Linked DNA regions of Rattus norvegicus. The protein of the gene in region 2 interacts with the protein of the main gene of each other region in a biochemical or structural test. Links are inferred from orthologs where the notes say so. Each region holds a gene or a part of one and is shown on either strand. Other genes may lie near its edges.

The links.
Region 1: the proteins of Atf7ip (region 2) and Mbd1 form a complex in vitro, tested with the Homo sapiens proteins (2 studies listed by BioGRID). The link is inferred for Rattus norvegicus from reciprocal best matches to the Homo sapiens genes ATF7IP and MBD1.

What each region holds. Positions count from the first base shown.
Region 1 is NC_086036.1:70,137,176-70,153,622, reverse strand, and holds the start of Mbd1 (methyl-CpG-binding domain protein 1), read right to left. Parts: upstream 8,372-16,447; 5' UTR 8,239-8,371; intron 7,161-8,238; 5' UTR 7,146-7,160; coding exon 7,036-7,145; intron 3,391-7,035; coding exon 3,276-3,390; intron 3,187-3,275; coding exon 2,966-3,186; intron 2,888-2,965; coding exon 2,805-2,887; intron 2,623-2,804; coding exon 2,582-2,622; intron 2,248-2,581; coding exon 2,101-2,247; intron 2,007-2,100; coding exon of another isoform or gene 1,878-2,006; intron 1,693-1,877; coding exon of another isoform or gene 1,618-1,692; intron 1,508-1,617; coding exon 1,397-1,507; intron 1,316-1,396; coding exon 1,247-1,315; intron 748-1,246; coding exon of another isoform or gene 580-747; intron 249-579; coding exon 1-248. UniProt on the Homo sapiens protein: Transcriptional repressor that binds CpG islands in promoters where the DNA is methylated at position 5 of cytosine within CpG dinucleotides. Binding is abolished by the presence of 7-mG that is produced by DNA damage by methylmethanesulfonate (MMS).
Region 2 is NC_086022.1:171,150,408-171,166,217, reverse strand, and holds part of Atf7ip (activating transcription factor 7-interacting protein 1), read right to left. Parts: intron 13,729-15,810; exon of another isoform or gene 13,587-13,728; intron 7,736-13,586; coding exon of another isoform or gene 7,729-7,735; coding exon 6,042-7,728; intron 3,460-6,041; coding exon 3,382-3,459; intron 2,153-3,381; coding exon 2,007-2,152; intron 240-2,006; coding exon 102-239; intron 1-101. UniProt on the Homo sapiens protein: Recruiter that couples transcriptional factors to general transcription apparatus and thereby modulates transcription regulation and chromatin formation. Can both act as an activator or a repressor depending on the context.

The DNA.
Region 1 (16,447 bases), on a different chromosome or scaffold from region 2:
CTGCTGGTACCCTCTTGTAAATACACAAGGTCTGTGTCAGGTTGGGGCAGTACAAAGCCACTACCTGCTTGCCGCTTCCCTGAATCTTGGACAGGGCCCGGTGGGGTTGTGACCACAGCCAAAGGAGCCTTTAAGGGAGAGCTCAGTTGCAGCTGTCGAGTAGAAGCAGACCTCTTTTGGTGGGTATGATGTGGAAGCAATCTTGCTTCCTCCTCAGACCCTGGCCCAATACTGGGCAGCAGCCGCTTCTGTGAGAATAAGATTGGGTGCTGTGGTCAGCTGGTGCCATCGGACCGCCCATGCCCACCTGCCCTACTCAGTGAGCCTGCTAAGTTCCCATCAGACCAGCACAGTCTGCTGCTTCATGACTTCTCACCCAAGCCTGCCGCTCAGTCTCCTGTTACCAACGGCAGTACCAGATGGACTCATTTACCCCAGCACAATGTCTGTTCATCCTCAACTAGAGTTACTAGACCACCCACCCATCTACTAGGCTTGGCCACCACTCCCAAGTACTGGGGGATGAGGTGGGCCAGGTCCTGCCTAGTCCATGCACCTAACCCCTCCTGCCCCACCCACCATGGCAAACTGCAGGCACTGGCGCCAACGACACTTCTGGCGCTTCTGGTTGCTGCCCCCGAATTTGGGCTTGTCACAGCAGAAGTCGCAGTGGCCACAGTCCATCCGCCGTAGGCAGGCTGCACAGGCCCCACACTTGCGGTTCTGCCGCTGGTTCGTATAGGGCTGCTGGGTGGAGGGAACGATGGTGCCATCACTAAGGGCCATCCTCAACACCCTCGTGGAGGGGCTAGCTACACACCAGGCTCAGTCTAACTCTCCTCAGTGTCTGTGACTCGGGAACGGTCCACTCACTATGCCAGCATTACAGCATCTGCTATGGAGACAGCAAGTACCTCTGGACCTCACTTCCACCAGGACTCTGCTGACTTCCCATCCGTTCTCACTCCTACGCCAGCTGTATTGACTTAAGCTATATGAGTGTTTCTCTGTACCCTTGTGATGGTCACTATTCAGCCTGCTTGTGCTGCACCAGCCATCAATGCCGGCTCATTTGAGAATAAGCACTGTCACTGTGCTGCTAACTCCTAATTCCTTCCCCGATAATTGCTTATCCCACCCTGGTACTCACTATTACCCACTACTAGTTCTAGTACAGCATCTGCTTCCTTGGGGTTAAAGAAGCAGCAGGAGAGCCCAGGCTTATCCAGGGAGCGGGGCCACTCACTAGCTCGTCCTCCTCTACACAGTCATAGACGAACTCAGCAGGTGCTGTGGGCGTTTGGTCGCTGATGTGCTGCAGAGGCAAACAGGCTGGGGTCAGGCAGGTTCTGAGGAGTGCGGGATTGTGCCTTCCCCCTGCCCACCAGGGCATTACCAGTTCTGTGGGCTCTGGATGCTGTGACGCAGCGTGTGGAGGAAGTGGCGGGGCTCGGGAGTGACGTCGAGAAGCTACCCTCGGGCCTCTCTTACTATGATCATATTTACCCTAGAAGCCAAAAGATCAGTTAAGGCCTGGTGGCACCGGTAGACACTGGACCCCAGGGAGCACAGAAAGCACGCACTGAATGGTCACGCAGTGTGCAGTAAGGCACTGACAGTGGGAGGAACCACAACGTGGGGAGGGCGCTGCTGGCATCCTTGAGGGTGGCCTCGGAAGCGATGAGCAAGGTGCTGGCAGAGAAAGGCAGGTGGGCAGAACCAAGGAGACGAACATGGGGCAGAAAAGAAAATAAGACATGAGGCAGGAAAGCCAGACTGGCAGGAAGCAACAGCAGTGCTGGTGAAGAATTTAAAAGCAGAATGAGCTCTGGTCTAGCCTTGGCTCCACCATCACCAGTCCCTTCAGCCTGACTCACCCAAAAACAGCGCCGTTGCAAACACCTCCACTGGCGCTTGAGACCAGGGCGGGGAAAGCGAAGGCAGATGCGGCAATGGCCACAGTCCTCTTGGGTCTGACAACCCCGACACACACCACACCCTCGGTTCTGTGGGGAGGCCGGAGGTATGATGTCTGGAGTAAGGGCTACGAAGGCCAGGGACTGAGGTGAGCCTGCACCCACTCCATGTGACTGGACTCACCTTCTCCACAATCCGCAGGCAGCGTCTCTGCTCACACTTGCAGAAGAGCCCTGAGGCCACATCGTTGGGCAGCTGCAGGCAGCAGATGGAGCACACCCCGCAGTCTTCTTTCACCAGGCAAGCTGTGCACTCCCCACAGCCAACTCGCTGCCGGAGACAGATGGGTAAGCTCAGAAGCCCTGGCTCCAGGACCGCTGCTCTCCAGATGCTCACACCCCTACTATGCCAGTCTCCCACTAGCCTCCTTGCCATAGCTGACCAGCTTGCCAACACCAAGGCCACTACGATGCCTCCTCCACGTGCTCTGTTAAGTGCATCCATGTCTACTGATAGCACATTAATTCCCATTACTGGATCTATGAACAAACCAACAGCCAAATCCCTATCTAAAAAAACAAAAACCAATGCATGGATCCTAAACTCTCTCTTAGCCCTACCACACACTGCTTCCCTGTAGACTACACAGACATAGTGTTCTTACCTTAAACATTCGCTGTTCTCGGTTGAAGGCAATTCTCTGTGCTGGTGGAAGAAGAAGGGAGAGAAACGGAAACCAGGCCATTAGATATGTGGCTTCAGCTACTACCTTCACCCCAACTTTTACCATTTTACCTATAGCAAGAGTGGGGCTCACAGGCTGACTCCAGATATACTGTAAGCCTCTACCATATAGCCTCCAGCGTGGCCTGTCTAATTCCCTTTACCTCGGCAGTCTTTGCACAATGTCCTGCGTCTCTCCCTTTTGATACCATCCCATGACAGGTGGATTCCACAATTCTCACAGCACCTAAAGTGAAAGAGCAGGGATCAGCACCTCCCATCCCACCTTGGCCTTGCCCACCTGGCCACTGTAGCCAACACTCACAAAGGTGCAGGTGCAGGCGCAGGTGCAGACACAGGCACAGGCACAGGTGCAGGCGCAGACGCAGTCACAGGTAATAAAGCTGTGGCAGGAGCGACCTTATTTCCTTCCCGTGGAGTCTCTTTCCTGACCTCACTTCTCTGTGGCCCAACCTGCTGTTTCTTAGCCTTGGCTGGTTTAGAAGTCTTCTTTTTCTTCTTGCTGGGGACAGCCAAGGGATGGGTCTGAAGATGAAGGCAAGAAGCATGCAGATTAATGCCAGGGTGTCATGTGACACAACTGCCCTGGTATGGGCACCAACCTTGTCAAGTACCTTGGGAACTGGGTGGCATAAGATGCCTTGTCTGAAGTCAAACAGGGTAAGATCGCATGCAGGGCCCAGGTATCGAGTCAGCTCAATTTTGCTTCGGATCTTTTCTCCTGTGGGGCTGAGAATGAACCAGAATGACTTGGCACCAAGATGGGGCCAATGACAATGACAAGCCACTCACACATCCTCACCCATCCGGTGAGGTGCAGGAAGCAGCCTGCAGTCTGACTGTGTGCCCCACACAAGGCCTACCCCACTGTAAGTAACAGGAACTCAAAATGTGAATGTAAATACCAGCATGCATACAAATGTTAATAAATAATATAACTGTGAACCCCCTTTTGATCTATAACATCACATATTCACGGTAATTCCATAAAATCATAATACAGTGGAAAGTTCTATTTTCTGGCAATACTTTAAGCATTTTCATGTCATAACAACAAGCATTATTTAGGCATCTGCAATGGTGTTGCTGTAAACAAGTCTAATTAATGCAGTGCCTACAGCAAAATGACATACAGGACGTCAGGTAGGAGTCAACACAGGAACAGTACGCCACAGCCTACACATACAGCTATATGGTTCTCAATGTTGCTTCCATCACTAACTACATATGGTCTTGCAAGATTATGTTGTCTGATGATACTACCATGTCCTAGTTTTCTTCACATGACAGCCCATTAAATAACATGTTTCTCAGAATGTATCAGTAGTAGTAAGCAATGTACAACTACATGAATATAGCTTAGATGTATAGTATAGCAGTGAATGGTATCACCTGGGTTTGTGTAACTGTAGTCACTGTATACTTCTCAGATTGTACTACTACTGCTAACTGTATATAGACACAATACATAGGCTAGACACAGTGTTGCATGCCTTCAATTCCAGCACTTGGGAGGCAGAGGCAGGGGGATGGATTTCTCTGAGTTCAAGACCAGCCTGGTCTACCTAGTGAACTCCAGGGCTCTGTAGCGATCCTGTCTCAGAAATAAATACTAAAAACAAAGAAACATAAATATACTTACAACATGTAACACTAGTGTTAAAAAATTATACAAGTAAAAATCAATACAAGATACAGAAATATTAAGTAACATGTAGAGGTTGGAGAGATGGCTCAGAGGTTAAGAGCACTGACTGTTTTCCCAGAGGTCCTGAGTTTAATTCCCAGCAACCACATGGTGGCTCACAACCATCTGTAATGAGATCCTATGCCCTCTTCTGACCTGCAGGCATACATGTAAGTAATAAATAAATCTTTAAAAAAAAAAAGAAAAGTAACACATAAATATGTATTGTTTTGCTTTAAGGTGGAGGTCTCATAAAGAAACATGACCCAGAACTTCTAATCCTCCCGTCTCTACCCACCCCTACCCCCTAGTGCTAGGATTTCATTAGTATACCAACCGCCATGCTTAGTTTATGGAGTGGTGACAAACTCGAGGCTCTATGAACATTACTAACACTCTCAGGACTTAAATATGTTGTAATGCATGCAAAAATGAGTAATCAAAAAAGTTTGTAACAGAAATATCTTTAAAACACGAAAATGAAACTATATGCAAAACACGGTGTAAGCATCATTAATGCTGAAAGACGGTGCTCCAGGTCTTTTCACCTCTGAGCTGTGAGAGGCAGTCACTGTCTCTCGAAACAAACTATCTACTCCTTGTTTGTAAAAACAAGTCACTTTAGAAAAGGCACTTACTGAACTGATACTTGGTTATACAAGTTCAAACAGACAGGGGGCCTTTCCTAGGCATAGTACAGCACAGAGACTACTGAGCCCTCTTCATATCATCCTATGGGAATTGGGATTCAGAGAAATGTCAAAAGCATGGCATTATGGATTCTGATCCTACTGTGAGAAACTTTGTTATTGCTGGCCCAGAAGTAACACATTTCCTACCTGCGTCCACAAAAGTAACAAACTCATTTACTAACCTGATGCATGTACATATGTACATGCACAATTACTTAGAAGGTTTTTAATTTTTATACAAGCTCATGTGAAAAAAAATAAGAAATTTTATTACATTCTTCTAGGGAATGGCAACTTAAATATACAGGAAGAGTGTAAAACTTTTAATAGTTGCATCAGTAATACCATGCTTATAAACTATAATGTTGACATGTTTAGAGTCAATTCTCATCATATATGATAATTATATATTATTTAGTTGCTACAAATCCTGAATTCTTACAACAAGGAACACTCTGCCTACGGGAGAAACGGGGTTGGTTCCAGCAAGCCTGACACATTTTCAAGCAACTGACCAATAGTCCTGTTTTATGTGTCTTTGCTTAAAAACACTGTAACATTTGTTTCTTACGAATGACTCCAGGACTGTTAAAGAGTAAGAGCCACTGGCTTTAGAGGATGTTTTATCTAGGTTTGCCTGCTGATATTTTGTTTTTCTAAAGATACCTGCCGTACAGAACCTGTACTATAAGTACCATGTTTTTACATCATATCACCTTCTGAAACATGCAAGCCAGCCAGCATCAGCTGAGATGTTTATGTTTCTCTGGTTTTTTTTTTTTTTTTTTTTTTTTTTTTTGGTTCTTTTTTTCGGAGCTGGGGACCGAACCCAGGGCCTTGCGCTTCCTAGGCAAGCGCTCTACCACTGAGCTAAATCCCCAACCCCCGATGTTTATGTTTCTCTAGTGCCCACTGACAAGTCTTTGGCTTTCCTTAGAACAATGCAGGTCACCAGGCTTTACTGCCCATTGGTTCACCGTTTCACAAATTTTGCTGTTTACTGTTGTTCCTAATTTTGTGGTGTTTAAACAAAATCTCAGGCATTCGATTTTACCACAGAAGACTTGGGAGCCAGATGCTGGGGTGAGAGCATGACAGCTCAGAGAGGCAGAGAGAGCACCCAGCAGACCTTCCTCCTCAGCTGACAGCCCAAGCAGTCCCTACTCATGCAAAATCCCTTCCTCAAACTGAATGTCCTCCCTTCTACTGTGGATCCCTCTGTCCACCCTTCTGACTACCTCTTACTCTCCATAATTCTTTAATAATCTTATGCTCACTTCCTGTCAACTGGCTGCTTGTTCTGCCTCTTGACCTAAGGTTCAGCCACACCACAGCTAACCCCAGGTTTCCCCCCCCCCCCCAGTAAATACAACTAATCCCAGGGTTCACAGTGTGATTAAATACCCTACAACAGTATCTGCTCTTTCCAGAACAGCCTCACACACATCTGAACATGCTTCCTCTTCTCTTTCCGGATGGACCATTTCTGATTTTGAACGCTGTAACTCAACCGGATAGCATTGCAATTCATGCGTGTAAGAAGCCTATCTGGCAAGGAGAAAAGGCAGTATCCTTGCTCTCGGAGCACTAGAAAATACTTCAGCAATTGATTTGGGAATCATTTTAAACAACAAATTTGCCAACAACAAAAATATGGCTCTAAATAGACGGTGGACCAGTTTATAGAACCAGAAAGAATGAGAGAGAGAGAGAATATATAAGAGTTCTTATTCAACTTTGATTCCAAATACATGCACTAGGCAATTCAAATTCTTTAGCTATCCCATGTGTGTCTGTGAATAATCACAAATGTACTGTGAGTATCGACTTTGATCAAATAAACTTTATTAAGAATAGGTGATTAAGAAAACACAAAACTTTTAACAAGGACTATGTGCACAACTTTAACCACATCCATAGATTTAAACACACCACCCCCTTTAATTACTAACGATGTCCAACTCCACTGAACGCTGTCCACAGCCCACCCGTTACCTCCGATAATAGATGTCTGAGCGTCCACACGAGGCCCCTGACTTTCGAAAGGCCTCTCGGCGTTTCCAGCCAGGGCCCAGGGCTGGGCAGTCCTGCCAGGCCTCAGCCATAGATGCTTCAGAAGCCTGCAAGATTGGAAGAAGGTAAAGTATGGGGAAAAGTGGCCAATTATTTCCAGGCCACAAAAGCCATACGTTTCCTTTAATACTTAACCCCAGATTAGCACAAGTATGTCCTTGGTGCAGGAAATACTCCCAGTCTTTGACTTAACAGTCCCATCCCTCCTTTTTGTTCTCCTCCAAACATGCATATTACCCCTCCTCAGTCTGAGAAGACTTGTTCCTCCTACTCTGGGTAAGAGGCCCCCAATTCTTTCCTTCTCAGGATACTACACCAGTGTTCTAACCACACATTTAAACTTTCCTTCACCTGAATTTCCAATGTCTTGCAGTGCTCTAGCTGCATCTCTGTGTCTGAGTCCTGGATTCCTCCATACACTGGATCAAACATTCTTGCCATTTCTCAGGCTGGAAGCCTCTCATGTGTTCTGTTCCCCTTACGTTCAAGAGCTCTCCCCAAAGTTTATTTTTCCCTCACTTATTCCGATCCATAACTCCTCTCCAGTCTCAGTCTCAAATGACTCTATTGCTCACCCCTATGGCCAGTGTTAGCTACTCTTTCTCTTAACTGTACGTATCATTCTCCATTTCTCTTATCATCTTGTGAAACTTCCTTGTTCCTCCACAGTGACCTGCCTCTCTTATTTCTTAGCCTGTGTTCCAGGACAACGCCATAGCCTCCCAACCATCAGACATTCTACTTCCTTTTTGTTCGCCACGAGTCTCCAGTCCGTCCCTCATTATTCTAACCCTACTATTTCTACTGTCTCGAGGCCCTATCCTTGCATTATCAGCTTTGGGACCCCATTTCTATCCTGTTAACACGAAGGCCCAATGACTCTCTGAACGTTCTCTCTCTTCTTCTCCTGGCCATCCTGGTCCTATAATCTCAACATCACTGTCAATGTCCTGAGCCACATCTTTTCCTTTTCTGTCTTCTTATCCAGTCCCCCCAGTCCTCTCTTTCAATATCCGGAAGTAGCCATTCCTTCCCCTGACGTGAGGGCCCTTCGCGTCTCCCCGCTAGCGTTCGGCGCCTCCACAGACTCCTCCTGAGCTCTCGCCACTCCCACCGCTATCTCACCAGCTTGACACCAGGCTCGCAGCTTCCTCGGCTCTAGGCCGGTGGACCCATGGGAAGGATCCCGCTTGCGCGACCCGCCGGTTCTACTCTTCTTCTTCCTCCTCTTCCACCGCAGCCTCTTCCAAAACAGTAGTTGTCGCCTCTGCGGCGGTTGGTTAGTCCCGGAACCGGAAACCCAATGCTTGCCTTTGGGGCTCCGACTAGGACCAGCACCTGTGTGTGCAGCCTTGTCACGCGTGCCCTCAATGGGGAGGCTCCGCGCCTGCGTATTGCGGTTTCAGGGGCGCGCGGTTTGTCGGGAACCTGCAGCGCCTGCGCACTGACAACACCCGCAGCCCGCCGGGTCTCTCTTGACTGTGCGCCTGCGCACCGAGGATGGTGCCCAGTCAATGCAATCTTCCCTGCTGCTGGTCTCCAAAGTGGCTCCAGACACAAGGGGGCGTGAATTGCCTCGCTGGCTCGGCCCACTCTTAATTTACGTCTCCACAAAAACCACCAGCAACGAAGTTAAGCCTGTCCACTTCCTTTTCCCGGAGACACAGCTCCTTTGTTCCTGTGATTACCTTCTTCAGGACTGGTACCCACTTCGTGAATAGGATCACAGCACCCTGGCCAGGGTCCCTTCTTGGGAAACAAGGAGGAGGCGTGGTATGCAAGCAAATATAATGAGGGCGCCAAGGGAGAGATTGCCATTCCTCAGAGGCCCAATAGGAGAGAATGGTGAACTGACCAAGGTAATTTATTTTGCTTTAAGACGACTCCGTTTTGCGTGCTTCACACACCTGCTCCTCGGCACTGCTGTGTTATGTGTGTTACAGAGTTGGAGAGTTCCAGACGACTGGGAAAGATCACTCGATGAAATCCAATTAGCTGAATTTTATTAAGCTGGCCAGCTAACTGCACCCACCAGATCTAGATAAGAGACTGAAACCCAGGCTAAAAGGGAAGGGGGAGTTTTAAAGGCAAAACCACAATTGGTTCATTTATGAGGAATTTGTAGCTATGTGAGAAAATGCTTTTCTTCCACCTTGCATACAACCATAAGCATGTTTAAAGAAGTCAGAGCTAGCAGTTAATCACTGCACAGTAATTACACATTTTGGGGACATGGATAAAGAGACTTTGAGGATTCCCTGGAGTTGTTTCCAGGTTCTGCTGATAGACTGAAGCCCTGAGGTAAAGTAAAGCACACCTGAGGAAAGTGTCTTGATTTGGGCCACACTACATTCTCCACTGGTTCTGAATCATGTGGATCAAATCACTGATTCATATTCATGTTGGGCTAAATGGTACTATTTTGCCCGTAGGAACTCAGAAGTCACAAGTTTTGGTTCCTTAGGGCTAACATAAAGCTCCTAAGTCTGTTGATCCAGCCATTCCTGTCCTTGTAAGGAGAAGAATGAGAATAGCGGAGCCCACCCTCTTGTTTCTACTGACAACTCTGGCAGTCAAAAGGTGTTTTCTACCTTCAGCCCCATTGTGTGTAACACACACACACACACACACACACACACACACACAACTTTTGTTTACTATTGATAAACAATCAGGGGCCCAGAAAGGGCAATGTTATCATTTGACTACCTGCTGAATGGGGGCATCAAAATCCTTGGGGAGAAGAACTTAACCTTCACCATCAGGGTATATAATTGAGAGTCTCCTGGCCCCATAGGTAAGGTAAATCCTGTAATAGACACTGTTTACAGAGTCTGGTTAGAAATCTTTTGGATTTATTGTTGAAGAAACCTAGACAAGAAGTTTATAAAGGAAGGTGCAACTAGAAGGCCTTAGGAGGAGGAGGGTTAAGAAGGGTAGTATGCAGTTCCATACTAGACAGTCGATGATCCACTGGCCAGAGACACTGAGTCATTTCTTACTTTTTTTTTTTTTTTTTTTGGAGATCTTTCTGGAGTTGTCAGATCTTGTCTTTTTACCGTAACCAACTGGTTGACGTAGAAGCATCATTCTTCTCTGAGAAAGACCCAAAGATACCTTTCTCTGCTGGTAGTAAATCCTACCCTCACCGATTTTGTAGCAATATGGTGGCCAGTGAGTCTCTTTGGCCCTACAGGGTAAGGGTGGTCTGAGTTACCTGTTAAGAACTCTGGATGCACTTAGATGAAAACTGGTGATAAATATCTAGGAAAGTAGTGAAAGACCCCCGAAGGGATCCTCCCACTCAAGTCTCGGGAAAGACGCGCACCCAGTAGGACACAGACACCGACTTGCTGTAACCACACGAGGAAGCTTTATTGTAAGCGAGATGAAACGAGAGCTCAGGCCAGCATGCTGGGGTCGAGACTCATACACCACACAGGGAGTAGAGGAGTTCGACCCCGACCTGAATTTTCACAGAGCTTATAAAGGAAAAAACCACAAACCAGGGGGATCAAGAGGGAGGGAGGAGGGGAATTCCAAAACCCTAAACTGCCCATACAATTAGGTCATATACTAGTCATGTGTAACACTAGGCAACACACCCAGGACTTTGTGACATTGTGATTAGGGGTAGTGACATTTTACAGGGCCATTGGAACATTGTGGCCGGAGGCTATGGGTCATTGTGGCTGTTCCAGGAAACTTTTCATGCAAGAATGTTCCGGGAACCATTGTACAGCAAGGGAGGGGTGAAAAGTTCATGTTCTCACAGACCCTACTTCTTCTTTCTGGGTAGCTAGGCCCCTACTTCTTCTTTTTGGGTAGCTAGGCGGCTTATTATTAATTTTTAATCCTTCAGTAGTCCCTCCACTCCAGTGGAAATGCCAGTGATTATACCTAGGACTTTGAGAAAGGGTAGGACCTGACCTCTCATTTGTCGTACCATGTTGCTATAAACCCTCTGATTGGGATCGTCAAGGGTTCTCTACTAGGTACCATTCCTAATTTCGGGGGAAAACCACCAAGGCACAAGTCCCAGACCACAGGGTAGGCAGTGGTAAACCCAAGTGCTAGGTGGTAAACATCAAGCGAGGTGTTGGGAATGTTCGGACATAAGGGAGGGGTGATAGTGCACAGAGTCAAAGTATTAACGTGGTCTGAGGGAATCCACTGTGCCCTGAGGAGTTAAAAAGCAATCTTCAATACCTTAAAGATATGAGAGAGATAGGGGTGGTGGCAGTATTTGGCTCAGAGCAATTAATGAGAAGTGAGGTGAGAGAGTGTAGTAGTCCAATGGTGGTTGTGAGTTTGACCTGTAAGGGACAGACACGACCAGCACTCTCCAGAGTGCCCAGGCAGAGTATGATTCCTTAGCAGATATACAATTAGTATGGCCCAGATTTGTCCCGTGGTATTTGCAGGATCAATATGGGTAACCATTTTAAGTTTCTGACCACTTTTTGCAGTCATCTTCTTTTGGGTCATAGAGAGAATAGGCATAAGCGGTGAAGCCCTGAGGAAGAAGAAATAGAGAAGGGAGTTATAGGGGACTGATCTGGCCTTTGAATTTCCAAACCCTATTAGGATGGGCTGTTGGTTAGAGGTAGAGGTCATTTGATGTTCAAGTAAGTAAGAGCTACACCAGACAGGTGGGTCTCCCAAACGTCATCAGGACTGAAAACATGGCCCCACTGTCCAGAAGAAAAGAGATGGATTGCCCTGATACTAAGATAACTACCCAAGCCTACCTGTTGGAGACAGCAGTGGTTGGACCAATAGAGCATAGGCCCCATCAGTTGCCCATGACCAGACCTAGTAGGCTGGAGGGTGATCTTGGCTTGATGCCTTCATCCCTTGAAGGACATCAGAACAGTCAGGGCCTATTGTCCTTCTTGCTGGCACCATGGGCACGATAGGAATGGTTTGTGAGGGTTTGGACAGACCCAAACCCGATTACCCTCCTGACCGTCCTGGAAGTTCTTGGGCTCTGCCAGCTTAGGCAGCTGCTATGGCCACCTGAAAGGCTTCAGGCATTTTTGTTGGGGGCTTTTTCATCTCTCCTATGATACATGTTGAAGGCCACAGCTCAGACTACTTCCTGTGAAGTCAGAAGTTCTTTCTCTAGAGATTTAAGTTTGGCTCTAAGGTCAGGGAAACTCTGGGAGAAGTGGGTCACAAGGAGTTGTTTTCTTTCTGAGACTAGAGATCCAGGAAGGTATAGTTTAAGAGGGCGTTGGCCCTGGGATTCAGATGTCCCTCTCACCACCCCTGTGTTTTTCTTTGAGGTATTATAATGCTAAATTCTGTACATAAAGGTCTAGGCCTATGAGTGAATTCTGACATTTACAACCCTTTGTTGTGCAGACTATTGGTTAAATAAAAATGGCTACAGCTAACTAATGGAAGGATTAGAGGGAAGCAGGTTTTTGAGTTGCGTGGTTGTGATGGTTTGAATATGGTTGGCCCAGAAAATAGCACTATTTGGAGATGTGGCCTTGTTCGAGTAGGTGTAGCCTTGTTGGAGTAAGTGTGGCCTTATTGGAGGAGTGTGTCATTTTGGACGTAAGCTTTAAGACCCTCATCCTTGTTGCCTGGAAGTGAGTCTCCTCAAAGCAGCCTTGATGATAATGAACCAAACCTCTGACCCTGTAAGCAAACCCCAATTAAATGTTGTCCTTATAAGAGTTGTCTTGGTCATGGTGTCTGTTCACAGCAGTAAAACCCCAGCTAAGACACTGGTTGAGCAGGGTGGAAGGAGCCAGGTCCAGCATGGCCACGAAAGTGACAGTGTTGAAAGACCCCCAAAGGGATCCTCCCACTCAAGTCTCGGGAAAGACGCGCACCCAGTAGGACACAGACACCGACTTGCTGTAACCACACGAGGAAGCTTTATTGTAAGCGAGATGAAACGAGAGCTCAGGCCAGCATGCTGGGGTCGAGACTCATACACCACACAGGGAGTAGAGGAGTTCGACCCCGACCTGAATTTTCACAGAGCTTATAAAGGAAAAAACCACAAACCAGGGGGATCAAGAGGGAGGGAGGAGGGGAATTCCAAAACCCTAAACTGCCCATACAATTAGGTCATATACTAGTCATGTGTAACACTAGGCAACACACCCAGGACTTTGTGACATTGTGATTAGGGGTAGTGACATTTTACAGGGCCATTGGAACATTGTGGCCGGAGGCTATGGGTCATTGTGGCTGTTCCAGGAAACTTTTCATGCAAGAATGTTCCGGGAACCATTGTACAGCAAGGGAGGGGTGAAAAGTTCATGTTCTCACAGACCCTACTTCTTCTTTCTGGGTAGCTAGGCCCCTACTTCTTCTTTTTGGGTAGCTAGGCGGCTTATTATTAATTTTTAATCCTTCATTCCCCACTTCTTCTTTTTCATCAGCTCTAATCTTAGAGCCATTGTTCATCCCATTGTAACTCTTGGTACTGTTGTCGCAGGACTAGTACCTGAACAGCACTCACTCTTTCTTTTATAAATGCCACCAGCCTATTGAGTATACATGGCCCGAAAGTAAGTAGAAGCATGAGAATTATAATGGGCCCAACTAAAGTAGAGAGGAGAGTGGTTAACCATGGGGACTTATTAAACCAACTCTCAAACCATCCCTGTCTGTCTTCTCTTTCTTTTTTCCGTATATCTAAGCGCTCTCTAAGTTTAGCCATCGAATCCTTGATCACTCCAGAATGATCAACATAAAAACAACATTCTTCTTTTAGAGCAGCACAGAGTCCTCCTTCCTTGAGGAATAATAAATCTAGTCCCCTTCTATTCTGTAGTACCACTTCAGACAGGGAGGTTAAAGACTCTTCTAGTTTAGTTATAGATTGTTCTATGGATCTAAGGTCAGTATCCATAGCTGCTCGTAATTCCTCATAATATTGGGGGGTCTGAATTAATGCAGCGGCACCCGAACCAACTCCAGCCGCTATCCCCAGTCCCATGAGTACTGCAAAGGTCAAGGTGATAGGCTCTCTCTTCCAGCGACCTCGGTGATCAAACTCATCTACAAAAGAGCTATCATCATGATATAGGAGTCTAGGAACGAGTTGAACCAAAATACAGTAATCTTTGGAAGTATTGAAAACAGAAGTTGATACACAAGGAGTGAGACCAGTGTTGCAGGCCCATGCTGTGTCTAGGGGGGGTACTAGATACTGATTACCTCCCGTAGGCTGGACGGTTTGTGTTTGATTACAAAGGTGCTGTTTATCATGAGGTACCTGGCCTAAACAAAGTCCACTTCCTGAGACTGCTGTTAGAGTTAATTTTCTGTTTTCCCCCCAAGGGCATTGAGAGGGGTCTGTTGTTTTGTTGTAACCCCTGGTCTGAGCAATACCTTCATAATATGGGGGGCTAGAGGCATAGCACAACCAACAAGACTGAGTAACGTTAGGATTGGTATGATTCAGGACCAGGAATGCCCCTTGTGTTAAGCTAAACAGACGATTTTCAGTGTCCGGGGGTATGGGAGTATTTGAAGTGGAGGGAGGTTCTTTAGCTAGGACATTAGGACCTACAGGTTGGGCTGGGGGGCTACTGAGGCTTAAGCGAACCATGACTGATGATCCAGGCTTGTTATTATAGTCATTAAAAACTACCCCCCATCTCATGCCCCTTATCCATGTTTGGGTATCATAATTTTTACCAGTGTCTGTAAATTTGATCCGAATTCTATCTAAATCAGCAGGGCGACAGTCAAACCTTTTATATGGTTCTATTATGACATACCTCCCTGGCCCAGAGTTTTCAAAAGAAAAGGTAGCCCTGTCATGAGTATATTCGCTGTCCCATTTCCAATCACCGTCATTGGAAGAAACACAACTCCATTTAGCACAATAATGTGAGGCTGGTCCCCCTCATATAGTCTGCTTACTATGCTCTGGGCAGCAGTAAAACCCATAGCTTCTTACTTGATTAGGGGGAATGGAAGTGGGGATAATCTGTTTGAGGCAGAAAGCTAGGTCAGGCCACCATGTCCCTGGCGGTGCTATTTTGGAAGTGGTGAATAAAACCTGATCCAGAGCAGGACCAAGAACCTGCCAGGTTAGAATTAAAGGCTGATGTGGGTTGTAATTTGGTAGGTAAACCTGACCTGAGTGAGGAGCAGTCTTAACTGAATCATCTGGTGGGTGCTCACGGTCAGGTCTGGTGGTTTTGGCGTTGGGAACACGAGTAGTAGCGGGGCCTCGGTTTGCATCAGCAGCAGCAGTGACGGCAGCAGTAGCGGCGGCTTTGGCGGCATTGGCGGCGGCAGCGGTCTGGATGATTTCCGGTTTCGATGGCGTGGGTTTCGGAGGCGTGGGTTTTTTAGCTGGCAGCGGAGGATTCGCAGCTCCTATGTGTCCTGGCCATATTCCTGCATCTTGGCTCTTTACCTCTGCGGCACAGGCGAAGCTTAAGAGGATTATTAGTAGTTGCCACCATCCAGTTGTTGTCTTCATTTTGGCTGGGTGTCTTCTTGACGTGGGAGGCGTGTATCCAAGCAGCGATCCCATCCACCTTTACTGCCATGGGGGTGGTCAGCAACACCAGATATGGTCCTTTCCACCGAGGCTCCAAGGTGCCAGCTCGATGTCGTCTGACTAAGACCGAATCTCCAACCTGGAACCTGTGGGGCACCTCTGAAGTTCCCGGTGCGTAGGCTTCTTTTATCTGGTCCCAGATCTGTGTTCTGATGACTTCCAGAGCCTTTAGATGAGTAAACAAAGCAGAGGATGAGGAGGAGTCGGCACTGGGATCCAATATCCCACTGGACTCAGTCAAGGGGGGCGGTCCCCCATGGAGAATCTCATAAGGAGTGAGGCCGAAACGTCCGGGTGTGTTTCGGACCCTAAGAAGCGCAAAGGGAAGGAGAGTCACCCAGTCTTTACCACCGGTCTCAATGGCTAATTTAGTTAGGGTCTCTTTTAGAGTTCTATTCATCCTTTCTACCTGTCCTGAACTCTGGGGTCTATATGCACAATGTAATTTCCAATCTGTCCCCAGTTGCAAGGCCAATCCCTGACTTACCTGGGCAACAAAAGCTGGCCCATTATCCGAGCCGATTACCTTGGGTACCCCAAACCGGGGTAAGATTTCTTCAAGAATCTTCTTGGCCACCACCTGAGCAGTTTCGGATTTTGTGGGGAAAGCCTCCACCCATCCTGAAAAGGTATCAACAAAGACTAATAGATATTTATTACCATATTTTCCTGGCTTTATTTCAGTAAAATCCACTTCCCAGTGGACTCCTGGTCGGTCTCCTCGTCTTCTCTTTCCAGGTTCTTGATAGGGCTTAGCGGCGTTAGTAAGTGTACAGGCCTTGCAAGAGT
Region 2 (15,810 bases):
AGAATGCAAAAGTATTTAATTCTGTACTCAACCTCAAATATATAAGTGGTAACACACGATCAGAAGATAAATTATAAATGGAAGACTGGCATGGGACAGACCTGCAACTCGGTGAGCACTGCCTTATGCCTCTTGTTGCACTCTATCTTCTCCACTCGTGTTTTTAATTCTGCCAACGTCTTATCAAACACAGCACACTGTAGGGCACACAGTTTTTCTTCTAGCAACCACTGTATGACCTAAAAAAATAAAAAAATAAAAAATCCTGTTGCAAAAAGGCAATTCAGCAAACAAAACAAAAACAAATATTAAAGACTAATAACAATATAAACCTAATGAATAAAATACAATCAACTAATTTAAAGAATAAAATCCAAAGCTCAATACTACCTACTAAGATTCTCTACTACCTCAAAATGAAAGTACACCCTAAGAAAAACATTTCCATACAGTAGAAATCATAAAATACTTTGAAGTTTTAGCATTTTCTCATCTTCCGTATTATGCTGAAACCATAAAGACAAAATTTGTTGAAAAGAACAAGTTCAAAATTTTTCTAACCTATTAAAGATTGGGAACTGTGTGAGATACATTAAAAAATGCCACTGCGGTGTCAGAATTGATGAAATATTTTTATCTAAATGCCTCCTCACAGTCCTTCTATTACTCCATCTGGCCCCCAGTGACCAGGACCCTGGCAGTCTGAGCTGTCCTAGCAATGGAGACATCAAGCCACAGGCATTCCCCATTCCCTCACAGGCTTATCTCACAATGTGATTAGCACTGTACCCATTACCACCTCACATGCAAAGGAAGAAGCTAACAGCATTTTTAGCGCCTTATTCCTTAATTTTTCTTTTTAAAGAAAGCATAAATACTTGTTTTTGTTGTACTAGTATCTCAGTGGAAGAAATTTTAGATTATTAATTTATAACTAAGTCCATAAGACCCTGAAAAGCAGAACCAGGTTTGGTGACTCACACCTGTATTCATATCACCTGGAAGTTGACACAGGAGGACATCTGCAAGACTGAGGTCAACTGGGCTATAACTTAGCCCATACAGCCTAAGCTATTATGAACCATGTCTCATGGGAGAAGGAGACTGGGAGACGCAGAGACAGAGGCAGCCTGAGTTTCACATCTCTCTACAAACATTTGAACACATAAACATGTGCACATGTGGTATACCACGCATGTGTGCTCATGAAGGTAAGCATGGAGTCCAGAGATCAACACGGGGTATCTTCCATGATTCTTCAGTTAGAAACAGTATCTCATACTGGCTGAGTGCAAGTATACCAACTGGCTAGACTGGCTGGCCCTTCGGACCCCCGAAGTTGCCTCCGAGCTTCCCAGTGGCCTAGCTAGGACAGGTGAGCACACCCATGCCTGGCTTGTGAGTGCAGCCAATGAAAACTGCGAACCCGAGCTGGCACACTATTTACCCTGAGACGGCTCCCCTTCCTCACACTCCGAAAATACATACAGCACTAATTGTTTTCAACATATATTGTATATGCTAGCATATCATATACAGGGAAGATTCAAAAAATCTTTACTCTGAACACTCACTTTTCCTAATCCATCTAAAGTCTTGTCTCTGTTCTGCTTTATACTAACATAAAAAGGGATTTGGGAATGGACCAACTTAATGTTATAGAGATTAAAGTCTACTAAAACGTTTAAATATTAATAAAGTTTGTTTCTTCTTCATTGTAAAATAATGTTCATATAGAAAAAGAAAAATTCAAAATCCTTAGTTTTTTAATAACAGAAAAATGTCATAGCTCCCTTCTATTTAAATATTCACTACAATGTTTTAAAATAAAAATACTGTAGCCAAGTAGTCAGAGGAATAAAATTTATCACAGATTTCATAGCTTGTCATTGTCTTCAAGCTCTGACTAGGTTATGTCAAGGTAAACAGAGAAGAATAGGACCATGGTGAAAATCTCCAAGCATGCAGCGACACTCTTGACGCATTTGAAACGCAATGTGTGCCACCTTTTGAAGCTTCTGGTTGATGTCTCCTTTGGCTGTGATCTTTACTTGAAACTCTGCCTCGTATTCTTCTTCCATATATCGCCGCCGTTTGGACTGCACACTGTCCATGTCTTCTGACTTGGACCGTTTTCGTCTGGAAAATTCATCTGAGAAAAACAACAAAGCAACCAGCACTGCTGAGTCCACTGTCTCGGTCACGGCCTCCACACTCCAGCCAGCCAAGGCTGCGCTCAGCCACTCATCCTATGATACTCTCAGGACCACAAACACTCAGTAGGCATGCTCAACAAAGCTCAGCTTTAAAGATGAAATAAATGATTTCAGCATGACAAACAGAACTTCCCAAGTGTTTAGCAATGCACACTGAAAACAGCATTTTTCCTTGAAATTGTCACATTAAGAAGGAGAGCTGTCTATAGCTTTGCCATGCAGACAGGCCTCCCATCGTGCTCTTGTCTCTGCTCAATCCCACAGCACACAAGAACACGCTAACATATAACAGCCATCATTATGCCACAGCTATCTGTTAGCTATGTACATGCTGAATGATTTAATCCTCCTTCCTCTGTGAAAACAGTGCCAGGCTGTCATTCTGACTGAGCCGTGCCCTAATCATTCAACCTTAGAGCAGTAAGAGTATGTAAGGTATTTAACATAGCCAAGTAGCGTTCAGATACATACAGATAGCAAAATTATGTTACAAAAGTACATTTGGCACAGAATACACATTCAAAGATTTTACTTAAAACATTTTTTTCAAATGTTAACATTCTTGAAGTCCTTTGAAGACCTGGACTGGCTTTTCAGCATTTCAAAACCTAAATCACTTGTATTCCAACATCGTTTATGGCCACCAAAGTGGAACCTATTTCCTTTGATCTGTAAAATAATGTTCAGGATATAAGGCAGAGAGGAGCTGAAACACTATTTAGCTTTGTTAGAATAGCAAAGAAATGTATTCACACCTATATATGCATTTATTTAATATCATTAACAACTTTTTAATATAGACAAAAGTCAACCAAAGTAACCCTGGCTTCTAGCTTCTTCTAGGTCTCCAGCACCAGCTCCAGCTCCTTCCCCATGCATCTGCTGTGGACAGAAACTCACGGCACTCACTGACCACAGCCAGGCAAAGCCCCCTGCCCTCAGCCTAATAAGAGCCTTACTGGGAGTCTGCGTCCTCTGCAGAATGGAGAACAGAACAAACACAGTAAACACATTCCTATTCGAAACACAGCCAAAGAACCCTGAGCTACTCATAAACAACATCAGTAAGTTGTGGCTTAAGTTAAAAAGTGCTGCAACCATCCGTGGGGAGAAACGGGAGCCCATGACTGAGGCCACACCAAGACAAGAGCTGGAGCATGCATACTTCTCCCAGGCGGCCGCTCCTCATCGGGCACTCGCTTCTCTTCCTCAGCTTTGCTGTCCTTCTCACTCCTTTCTCCCTCTGTTAGGACAAATGTGGAAAAGGGAGCCTTATTTCTATGGAAATCAGGAACACCTCATTAATTCACATTTTTGGTCACCATTCGGACTACTGAACAAATGATTTACAAAACTGAAGTCACAAAATAGGAAATTTAGAGAATATGGGAGCACAAACTGAGAAGTTTAAGAGCAGGTTCACATTCAAGCCGTATTTATGTTTAATAAACAGAATATGAAAAATACTTAAATTCAAAGTCAATAATTTTACTTATTAATTTTCTATAATAGGTAACAACTATTATAAATCATTCTGATTTCTTGACTTTCTGTTATTAAAATAAACCAGAGCCAGCAAGGTGGCACAGAGAGTTAAGGACATATGCCAGCCAGCCTGACATCTATGCCCAAGCTGTACATGGTAAAGAGAACTGACTCCTTATCCTCTGGCCTTTGCATGTATGCTGACCACCTAACAATAAATAATCATAGTAAAACTAGAGCAGTAGCCACAGTTATCAAAATGATAATGATAAATGACACACTGCTAAGGTCTAAACAACTCAAAATCTTCTGTGCTGAATTACCATTTGTCAGATCTGCCTACTAGATTCATGGCACTTATGACAGAACATATATTGAGTTTTAGAATAGATGACAAGGATTAGAATGTATGGTACATTTTACATTGTATCATAGAAAGAACTCATAAGAAAAAATGTTAACAAGTTGTAACAAGGAAGTAGAGTCCATTATTTCTTTAACTTTTTGCTCAGTCTCTAGGGATTGTACAAACTGTCTTTGGGTGTATGGTGTGCCTGTGTGGGGGTATGGATGTGTATGTGTATGTCTGAGTGTGTGTGTGTGTGTGTGTGTGTGTGTGTGTGTGTGTGAGAGAGTGTGTGTGTATATGTGTGTGTATGTGTGTGTGTATGAGTGTGTATGTATATGAGTGTGTGTGTGTGTGTGTGTGTGTGTGTGTGTGTGTGTGTATGTGTGTGTGTGTAGGTAACTGAAGAGACAGAAAAGAGCTCTGTCTTTCCAGAGGTAGAGTTATGGGAGGTTGTGAGGTACCATATGGGTGCTTTGGTCTTCGGCGACAAGAGTAGCAAATGAATATCCAGCATTGCGCCATCTCTCTAACATAAAATAATCAGATGCCTTTGCTCAGAACAGGGGTTTCTAAAACTCATCCAATACAAAGCTTACTAGCTCATTAGTTCTTATAGACTCCATCCTTCTGGGTAGGCCAGGTTGTCATGACACCTCTGCTCTTCTCAAGAACGGCCTTCTCATTAAGTTGCTATGTTTTCATAGTTCTAACTTCCATGAGCTTCGCTCTAGCCTGTCAAAACTAGACAGTAAGATCACTTAAAGTTGGTGACCAGATCTTATAGTTCTGGTAATGCCAAAACCTTTGATGCTGTCCTGTGCAGAAGTAACAATAACTATATGTAATATAATAAACAAACAGGCTTGCTTCTGTCCTGCTAAACTGATGGGCTACAGCCTGCCAACCCCTTGCTTTGGTTTGAATCTGTAAGGATATTTAGACACATAAACACACAAACACACACAAAGGCACACACACATGCACACCAAACAAAAAACTACAAAGTCCTATAGATTAGTTGATAGAAATATACTCATTGTGGTTTAAAAAAAAAAAAAGAGGAAGTAACAGGTAATCCATACATAAGTAAGTACAAAAGGCCAATAAACATTTTCAATCTTGTAAAATACATCAAGAGAATGTGGAATCAGGAAAACCTACCTTTTCCACACATTTTCTAAGCTTTATACCAGTACAATGGTGCAAATGCTATCTTTCCGGTTAGTGCTTTTTATCCTGTGGGTTACCACTCCTTTGTGGTCAAATGACCCTTTCATGGGGTCAGCTAAGACCATCTGCATATAAAATATTTACATTATGGTAAAAAAAAAAAAAACAGTAGCAAAATTACAATTATAAAGTAGCAACAAAAAAGATTTTATGATTGGGGGTCACCACTTCATCAGGAACCGTATTAAGGGGTCACAGCACTAGGAAGGCTGAGGACTAAGGCTCTATGTGAAGTTTGAGAATAGCCAGATTTAACAGGAGAAGAAACGCGCGCTAGCTTTGTCCATGCAGCTGGAGGGCTTGATCTGAGAGCGAAGAAAGCGACTGACTAGCAGCTGAAGTGTGCATACGATGTTTGGACAGACATCCACTAATGTCTGAACTTTCCCAGAAAAGGAATACTAGGTTAGTCTCCTTAGACTATGATTATAATCATTTAGAAAGTATCAGCTATCATTTAGCAATATGCAACAGCTCGTCTCCAGATTACTATGACATACTAGTTCTTCTAACTTTGTAAAAGTAAGACTTTTTTTCTATTTATTTTGATAATGGTTTGAGACTAGGTCTCAGGTAGCCTAGGCTAGCCTCAAACTACTTATGTAGCCAAAGTTGACTTTGAACTCCTTGGCCCCCAACTTCTCCCCTTTTAAAACCAACATTTCTTTAAAACCTTACTCATGGATCACTAATATTGATATTATTGAGTATGTTGTATTAAACAGTTTATTAAAGCAAATAAAAATCCTTAATCAGCTAACCTGGAGAGCTCGTCTTATTCTGTGCTAGAACTTCAGACTCATCTTTTCCACACGAAATATCCTCTTCATCAGAAAGGACTAAAAAGGCTTCTTTTGGCAAATTCTCACTACTTTCTTGTTTTGAGGGTGAGCCAAAAGAACCCTCCATTTTATCCTCCAAGTCTTGACTTGTTTCAACTGGAAGGAGAGAAGTTTTTGAAAAGCAACTGAGTTCATCCTCAGTGGGTGCAAGTTTTTCCAAGATAGGGATGATCTCATCTGTTTCCATAGAGTCCGTGTTGTCTGAGACAGTATTCTTCTTGCCCTCCTCCGTGGGGTCCTCACTGGCAGCGTCAACAAGTTCTACAGGACTTTTATGCCTGTCCTTTTCACTTTGGTCAACTTCCATGCTGCTGGAGATGGCCTCTTCCTCAAGAGCAGGCTCGGCAACAGCGTCTTCCTCTACCTTCTTCGTATTTTCTGGAGGTAGATGATCAGAATGAATAATTGCACTGTGTGTTTCTAGAGTTCCTTCCTTCTCAGCAACATTACTGTTCACTTTATTCCCCTCGTCAAATGCATCTTTACTTTGAATTTGGGCTAAGTCTTCGTCGTCGTCATTCCTGTCTGGACAATCATCATTGTTTTTGCTATTCTGCTCTGTCTTGTCAGTGTCAGGACCTGGTTCACAAACCGGCACTGAACTTGGTTTAAAACTGTCAGTGGCTGATTCCACAGTGAGCTCACCAGGAATCAACTCACCAGAAGCCAGTCTGCTGCAGACAGACGTACGAAGCGACTCCTCACTAGAAGGCAGATCATCAGAAGGCGAGTCACCAGAGGTGACACAATCATCCAAAGCTGACTCCCCAGAGGCCAGGTCACAAGACGCCACTGCACCTGTGACTCTTTCTTCTGAAGCTGGCTCACTTGAAGCTGGCTCATGAGACACTGGCTCACCAGAAGCGGAGTCACCAGAAGCGGAGTCACCAGAGGCAAGAGCATCAGAGGTGGGTTCTTCAGAAGCAGTATCTCCAGAGACAGGATCACTACAGCAGGGATCACTAAAGGTGGGATCACTGGAAGAGGGATCGCTAGAGGATGGATGGCTGGAGGGGAGCTCCTCACAGGCGGACTCACCAGCGGTTGGTACTCTAGTCGTCAGCTCTCCTGCAGCCAGATCACCAGAGCCTGGGTTATCAGAGGCTGGGTTATCGGAGGCTGGATTATCAGAGGCTGGATTATCGGAGGCTAGGGTATCACACCCTGGGTTATCGGAGGCTAGGGTATCACATCCTGGGTTATCGGAGGCTGGAGTACCAGAAGCTGGTTCAGTGGTTACTTTAGAAGCAAGATCAGAAGTTATACTGGGGGACAAAGCTTCACTATTCAAATCTTCTTGCTTGTTTTTTACACCAACAGTGGGGATACACGGTGTTTCTTTCCATTCCGTTTTACTTTCTTCAGATTCAAAACAAATCCCATCAACACCATTCACTTCTTCTTTATCTTGAATACAATCTGTGTTTTCCAAAGGTGAAGTAGGATCCAGGTCTCCATTTTCATGGTTCCCATTTAGCAGTTTCCCGTCAGTTCTCAGCAGCTCCTCTTTGACTCTGTGCACAGCGTCGAGCTGCTGGCGATCACTTGCTCGCATTGTTTTTCGAGCCTTGAAGACTTTTTTCTGTGGTTCCTCTATATTATCCATTTTGAATCTTTAAATAAAAAGAAAAGGATTTCAATGATTGAGACAAGTCATTTAATTACAAGTTTAATGAAAGTTGAAATATGAACAATTTAGATCATATAAATATAAAACAAAGACAACAGAAACCTTAATCCTTACTATGTCTTAGTCCTCGTATTTACTAGTCACGTAATCTAAAAGGGACAAAACAATGCACAGCAGAACATCGATACAGGAGAACGAAGAAGGAACAAAGCTAAGTTTTACTCTTGATACAGGAATTAAAAATGAGAGAAGCTTCAGGAACGTAAAAAGTCCATGGAAAAAAACAGGTGCTGGGAACCAAACATGAGTCATTGTCTACAAGAGCAGCACTTAACCAACCACTGGGCCATCACTCCAGCTCTGTTTGAAGGTTTGGAGAAAGCAAGAAATGAATGCTAAGAGTACAGGGTTCTTCTATGAAATAATAAAAATGTGCTAGCATCCTCTGTAGTGACAGCTGCACAACTTAAAAACTACATACACTGGAATATGCTCTCCTTTGGTCAATTTTGCTAGCGTCCTATCTGTCCAAGAGTGCACTCTTGGTGATGCTCTTATTTGTATCTGCATTGTCGCTTTGCTGCTTTCTCCCCTAATATAACGTCTTTGACTTTTTGGATGAGGTTAATTTGCATCTGCAACTTTTTCAGTTGCTGTGATAAAATACTGACAAAAAAAATCAGCTTGGGGAGGGCGGATTTGTTTTGATGAAACACAGGTCATGACAGGGAGGCTGAAGCAGCTGGGGTTAAAGTGGCTGGTCACATCACATCCACTGCCAGAGTCACGATGAACTCCCACACACTCCTTACTTTTTCCAGTTCTATAGACCCTCATCCAGCCCAGGGAATGGGGCCACTCACAGTGGGTGGGTCTTTCTACCCAATTAACCTAATCAAGATAAACCCATCCACAGGCATAGCCAAGAGGCCTACCTCTCAGTGATTCTAGATCTCTTCACGTGACAACCAAGACTAAGCACTGCACGTCATCTTTTTCCTTGTGCTTCAAGTTTAATCATTAATCCTCAATTAAATTTCACCTTTCATATTATATACACAGAAATGAATCTAATATTTTTCAAGGTATTTATTTTTATTTTATGTGCATGCAGGAGGTGAAGAAATGGTGATGAATCCTCTAGAACTCGTGTTATAGATAATTCTGAGCCACCATGTTGGTGCTGGGAACCAAACTCGGGTTCCCTGTGAGAGCAGCCAATACTCTTTCTTAACTGCAAAGTTACATCTCCAGCCCCTCATCCTCACATCTTTTTTCTGCTAAAGTATTTTCTAATTTTCATAGTTCTTCCTTTTATCTATAAATGACTAAGCAGTATGTTTCATTAGGAGATAACACTAATCAGGTAAAGGTCATTAAAAATTCACATCCAAAAGCCAAGCAATATTGATCATTGGCAAGTCTTGAAGCATCCTAGTATATACAGGGCCACAAAAGTGCCTAATTGACAGTTTTTCCCAAAATGATTAAGAATGGGGTTCTATATTCTTACTGTTTAAATTGTAAATGAATATAAGGTTACTAGGGTGAGCCCTACTGCAAAGTGATTAATGTCTTTGAGACTACGACATGCACAGAATAAAACCATGTGAGACAGGAACTATCACAAGCCAAACAACTAGAGGCAGCTAGAAGATGTGTCTGGACAAATCCTTCCTCAGAACCTTCCAAGGAACTATGCCTTGACAATAGCTCCATTTTGAAGTTCTAGTCTGTAAAATTAAAACAATATATTTGGGTGAGTGGGTGAGTGGCTGCATGTGTGTGTGTGCGTGCGTGCGTGCGTGCGTGCGTGCGTGTGTGTGTGTGTGTGTGTGTGTGTGTGTGATATGTGTATGTGTGATTTACCACATAAACTGCCTGAGCAGACATAGAATATCCATTAGACCATATTCAGCACTACCTCCTAATTAAAAACTCTAAACAAGCAAAAGGAAATTTATCTGCTAAAGGTTATCAAGATGTAGATGCTACATTTAATTGTGAAATGACATTAAGATAACAAGAAAGACAAAGACACCCCGTATCCCCAATTTTATGCTATCAAAAGGTTAATGCAAAAGAGCATTTAAAAGAAGACAGAACTAAGACTAAAGCTCATTGCAGAGCATTTCTGCTTGGTATGTGAAGGAAGGTCCTGGGTATTGTCCCACCAAAAGGAGAGCATAGCCAGCTGTAGAAGAGACTGAAGCGGGAGGGGGAAGAGGGAGGAAAGAAAGAAGAGAGAGATTAACTATAGGCAGAATAGAACACATGTAGATGTGCAGCTGTGTGCTGTATCCGCTCTCCCTACCGCCCTTCTCTTTTGTTGATATACTTCCCAGTGCTACTCAATCAAGAATGGGGCTAAAATGCCACAAACAACCTATACTACATCAAAGTTTTAACACCTTCACTGATGTAACTTACCCACAATAAATAAGCAACCTAAGTTGTTAATAGTCAATGTTTTTCCATAAAAATAAGCCTGATTTGTTTGTCAGAGACCAATACAGCTCTAAGAACATGGCACTTTGTCAAAGACTGTCCAGATTATGTTATTCTGCATTCACTTTTTGAATTTAATTCAATAATTTAAACAGTTTTTAGTGTTTTCTTTTTATTTAAAGTACTTCTTAGAAAAAGCATCTTTCAACTCTACAGAAACCTTCAAACAAAAGCACACTGGTACTATTTTAAGAGTCTAAAATTAAACTTGGAGATTTTCTTTCCTCATCCACTTCCAAGTCCTGTTACCTATACAGTTTCCTACATAAGCTTTTTGGTGCAAGAAATCAACCCCTGGCATTTCCAATGCCTACTGCTCGGTGCTGTCAGTGAACTTTACCCCAGACAGCACAGCTCAGCACTCACTGTGCCGACTGTAATGAACACCGTAAATGTTCAAATACTCAAGCACCATTCCTTTAAGCTTTGAAACGCCCATTTTCAGATAGTCTATGCATAACCAAGAGCTATAATTATTTACATTAAAATTAAACATTTTTGGGTTGGGGATTTAGCTCAGTGGTAGAGCGCTTGCCTAGGAAGCGCAAGGCTCTGGGTTCGGTCCCCAGCTCCGAAAAAAAAGAACAAAAAAAAAAAAAAATTAAACATTTTTAAAGCTTAAGCCAGTGTGGTGGTGCATCCCTTTAATCCCAAGACTTGGGTGGGAAAGGTAGTAGCATGCAGAGGCAGGTGGATCTCTGAATTCTGGGCCAGCCTGGTCTACAGATTGAGTTCCAGAACTGCTAAGGCTATATAGAGAAACCCTGTCTCAAAACAACAACAAAAACAAACAAACAATGACAACAAAAACCCCTTAACTTTTCATAGTGCAAATAACCGATGAACTTTGCTGAGAGTTATAAATTTGAATCCCCACTTCTCCCAGATGAACCAGGTGCCTAACATTTCAATCTTTTAAAGTGTTAAAAAGAAAAGTGTACCTTAAATTGTCTTAGGAGGCACTGTGTCTACCATACAGGCTTTCCTGAGAATTATGAGATGTGACTAATTCATAACATTAATTAATACATTAATTAATTAGAAGGATTCGGGCCAAGCAAAGTAGAGTATACTGGTAATCCTGGCAACCAGAAGGCTGAGGCAGGAGGAGCATTACAATTCTGAGGCAAACCTGAGTTACAGTCAGTTCCTATCCAGCCTGTGTCACAGTGTAAGACTGCAACCACACAAAAGGCCATCTAGAATGGCTGTGTGCTTGAGCCTAGATGTAAAGTCTGTGTGTTGCTTGCTTACGCGTAACTTTCAGACTCTAAGACAAATTTTTTCTTAAATAACATTGAGTGAGTGTGTGTGTGTGTGTGTGTGTGTGTGTGTGAGAGAGAGAGAGAGAGAGAGAGAGAGACAGAAAGAGAAATTAGAAAATCTAGTAAGCCAATATAAACAAAAATTATTACTAAACTCTCTCCACCAAATAACACTTAATACAAATAAATACAACCCAAGTAAAGTTGGTTTTTGCAACAAAGCCATTAAATTCAGTAATAACTAAAGTATTGCCAGAGACTGAGGTAAATACCTTCACTACCCACAAGGGAGCACACTGCAGCCATTCAGCAGATTTTCATAGGTTCTAAGTCTAACAACAAAACAGACAAAACAATAAGGAAGTAGCATGAACAACAAGTACAAACCAGTTCAGACATATCTGTGCAAACCAATCAGCAATCTGCTTCGAGAAATCTATTTTGCATAGCAAAGCTCATCAGGAAAATTTTACATCAGGGAAGGGCGTGTACCCTGCAGACAAATCTGCAAGGTTGCGTTACCAGAAGGTAGCCTAAAGCTCACTTTAGGTATCATCTGGACTTGAGGTGTCGACAATCTATGTTATTCTGTAGAATCTGCTTCGCTGTGAGGCAGCAACACGAGTCAAAGCACTCCCATGTGACGGCAACTCATTTTACAGAAAAAGCATGTCTATCTTACAGCAGAAAATGTCTGCATATCTAGAAGCACATCACATGATGTAATGAATTAAGTTTTTACCGGAAGTACTTTTTTAATCAAAAGGCAGTTTAAAAACTATATATATATATATATATATATGTATATATGTATATATACATATATATATATATATATAAAGTCCTTACTTTACATATTTGGATCCAAGTAAATATGGTGAAATATCAACATTTTCTACAGAAATTTATACATCAATAACCAGAGAAAAGTATGTTACCTGATATGTCTCTATGCCTTGTAATTTTTTCAATTTTTTGATAAATTCTTTTTAAAGGAAGAGCAGTGAGCCTCTTCTTTAAAGAACTTTTTCCTGAACCCCCTCCCCTGCACCCACTTCTTTCACTTTCTAGCAAGAGATCTCAGCCATGAGCCAAAGGTAAGCTGTTTTGTCTTAGCTTATAACCTTCCTGCTCAAAACCTCAAGAATTTAAGTGGCTGTTGAAGAGCTACATACAAACTCAGCCAATCAGCAGCCAGCATTCTATTTCCTGCCCAGCAACAGGAGACAGACAATAAGGTCAGAGAAACATAGTTAACGAAACACAGATCTGAAATAGTGCGGTGTGGTTCTTTGTTTGAAACAAATAACCTAGAACACAGATTCCATGTCGTAATTCCATGATTTGTTTTAAATATACAGTACACATAAATAAGTGGATAAGATTTATATCTTTTATGCTACTTTATCTGGATTTAATCAATGTTCATAAATGTTTCTAAAATATAACTTATCTGAGGAATCAGTTAAACAGGAACAATACATAAAAATAGCATTTCTACATAATGAGTTAAAATCTATAAAATTCAAATATATTTTCTTTTACAAGGTTAATAGTTCTTATATTTGTAAAAAAATTATAAATAAAAGCCATCAAAATATTAAATTCAATTGGGATGATCTCTCAAACCATTTCACATACCGTTACTAATATAGATTTCCAAACCCAAAATGCACCAGGACTGTGGACATGGGCAGGATGGCAAAGAGCAGAGCCTCCTACTGCACGGAACTGACTCAGCTTAATTCATATAACGAAATCAAAATGTCCACTCTTGGTGACTGGGTGCTAACAATATATTTACTACAACACGCGCAATTAATTGCCTTTCACAGTTGGCTAAAAAAACTGTATAAGCTCTGCTTTTGAAAAGCAATAAAATGTGTAGATTATAAGGTAATTTTAGAGGGGATTTTTAATACTACAAAAAAAACCCTGTGACCAGAGTTTCTTATTTGCCCCAAATTCACTATCTTTATTAGTTTTTTCTAGTCAACACATTTTTAAACTAATCATTTTCCCCCTTCCTTACAGGTGAACCTTGCAATTTTTCAAACATACCCAAGAGGGAGCTTGCTGCAGCCATAATTTTAGTTTATATAATCTCCTCATAAGGGAAATAAATCAACAGCTGCTTCAGCGCTTCCTTCAGTCCTGTGAGGGAACTGAAATTCACTCTGATTGGCTCAAAGCCTTCTCTGCCTAAAGCCAATCAGAGAAAAGTATCAGAAACCTTACCCAGCAACAAAGGAAGCAGCTGAGGGCAAGAGCTCTAAGAACTACAGCCACCGTGAAAGTCAAAGGAAATAATTAAAATGGAAACCTATTATAACCACAACCTCAAATGCCTTGTGTTAATAAAGATTTCTATAATACTGTTCAGCTTTTGTTTGAGAAGTTCCCCCCCATTTTACTGTCTATATTTAAACTATATATTGTCTGTACTGTTTCTAAAAATAGTCCTGAATAAATACTAAAATTGATTCAAAACACACACACACACACGCGCACACACACACACACGCACACGCACACGCATACACACACACAAAACCACCATGCTCTAATTCAAATTAATATCTCTAGTAAAGAACACATAAAAATACAACTCACAAAAAACCTGGAACATAAAACAAAATCACGAAAGTAAAGGTAGCCCGGATTTCTGACAAACATCCATGCTGGGAGAAACATCACTAATATTTTTCTAAAAAATCAGATGCTGAAAACCATAGGATTTTTAGGATTTATTTCTGTTTTCATCTATGTGAATGTTTGTCACATGTGTGCAAGTGCCATCAGCAGCCAGAGAGGGCATCAGATGCCGTGGAGCCCGAGTTAAGGCCACTGCTGGGACTGAACTCAGTGTTCCTAACCACTGAGCCACTGTTCCAGCCTGTGAATGTTTTACTCAATTTTTTTCCTTACACGGCTTAACAAAATCAACTCAACAAGCCTGACTACTAATAACCTACCCCTAAACCTCACTGTATTCATTACCCATAATCCCTAACCTATTTGCTGATAAGAGCCTGTTCGACATCATGCCGACCTGACCTTCAACACCATCATCTTCATGACCTGAATTTGGGCCCTGGGACCCACAGAATGCAAGGAGAGACGATTCCCACAGACTGTCCTCTGACCACCAAGGCACACATGAACTCACACCCACACACCAAATAGAAGGATGGACGGCCAGGTGGGTGAATGGGTGAGTGGATAATATAAATTAAAAACAGACAAAACCCTCATTTTTCAGTTGATTAACCCTAAGCTTTGCACTGCTCAGAAATTTGTAGTATTTATTCATGAAAACAGGGCCATAAAAATAATGTTATACAATAAATACTAACAACCTTTCTCACTGTTTACTACCATTTGTCTGATAATACGATGAATTGTCACTTACTTTATTTTTATACCCATTATTTTTCTGTGACTTTAGCCTGACCTCTTTTGTTAGGTCATATTTTTAACATTCAAAATAAAACAAAAAGCCCACCACCTGGGCTGGAGAGATGGCTCAATGGTTGAGAACACTGGTTGTTCTTCAAGAGAACCAGGTTCAATTCCCAGCACCCAGTACTGAGGTGCCTCAAAATGTGGCTTCCCTGGGCCCCAGGCGTACATAGGATGCACTGTGTGTGTGTGTGTGTGTGTGTGTGTGTGTGTGTGTGTGTGTGTGTGTTTCATTCGTGCACACACGTGTGTGTTGTATGTACATGCAGGCAAACACACATATACATAGAATAAATCTGGATGAAAAACTACCAAGAAACTGAATGTTAATTCACACTTTGTTTTAGGGAGTTCAAACCTGCAGGTGCTCACGTACTCGGTATGATTGCTGCTTTGGACAAAGGCGGGTACATGTAACTATTACCAACATTTGTCTCTCCATACTCAAATAAGCCTCTTCCTCTTCTTCCTCATTCCAAATAGGACGAAGGTCTGTAGCATGTCTATCTCAGAGGACAAGTGCACTGTGTGCAGTAAACAACTATAAACTATGAAAGCACAGGGCACTGAGCCCTACCACCTAACAATCTTCTACTGGGGAAAATACAATAAACTATCTTTTCCCAAGACAGCCAGAGTCTGAAATGAAACAAATGCTTTTGGAGTCCAAGCAAACCTAACATATAACTAAACCTGGCACGTCTCATGAGATACATTTCCTTACCTTCCTGGACTGGTAGCTTTAGCACATTTTACCAGTATTCTTAAGTATCTTGCTACCATTATCCTATTTCTGCCACCATTTTAAAGATATCATTTAAAA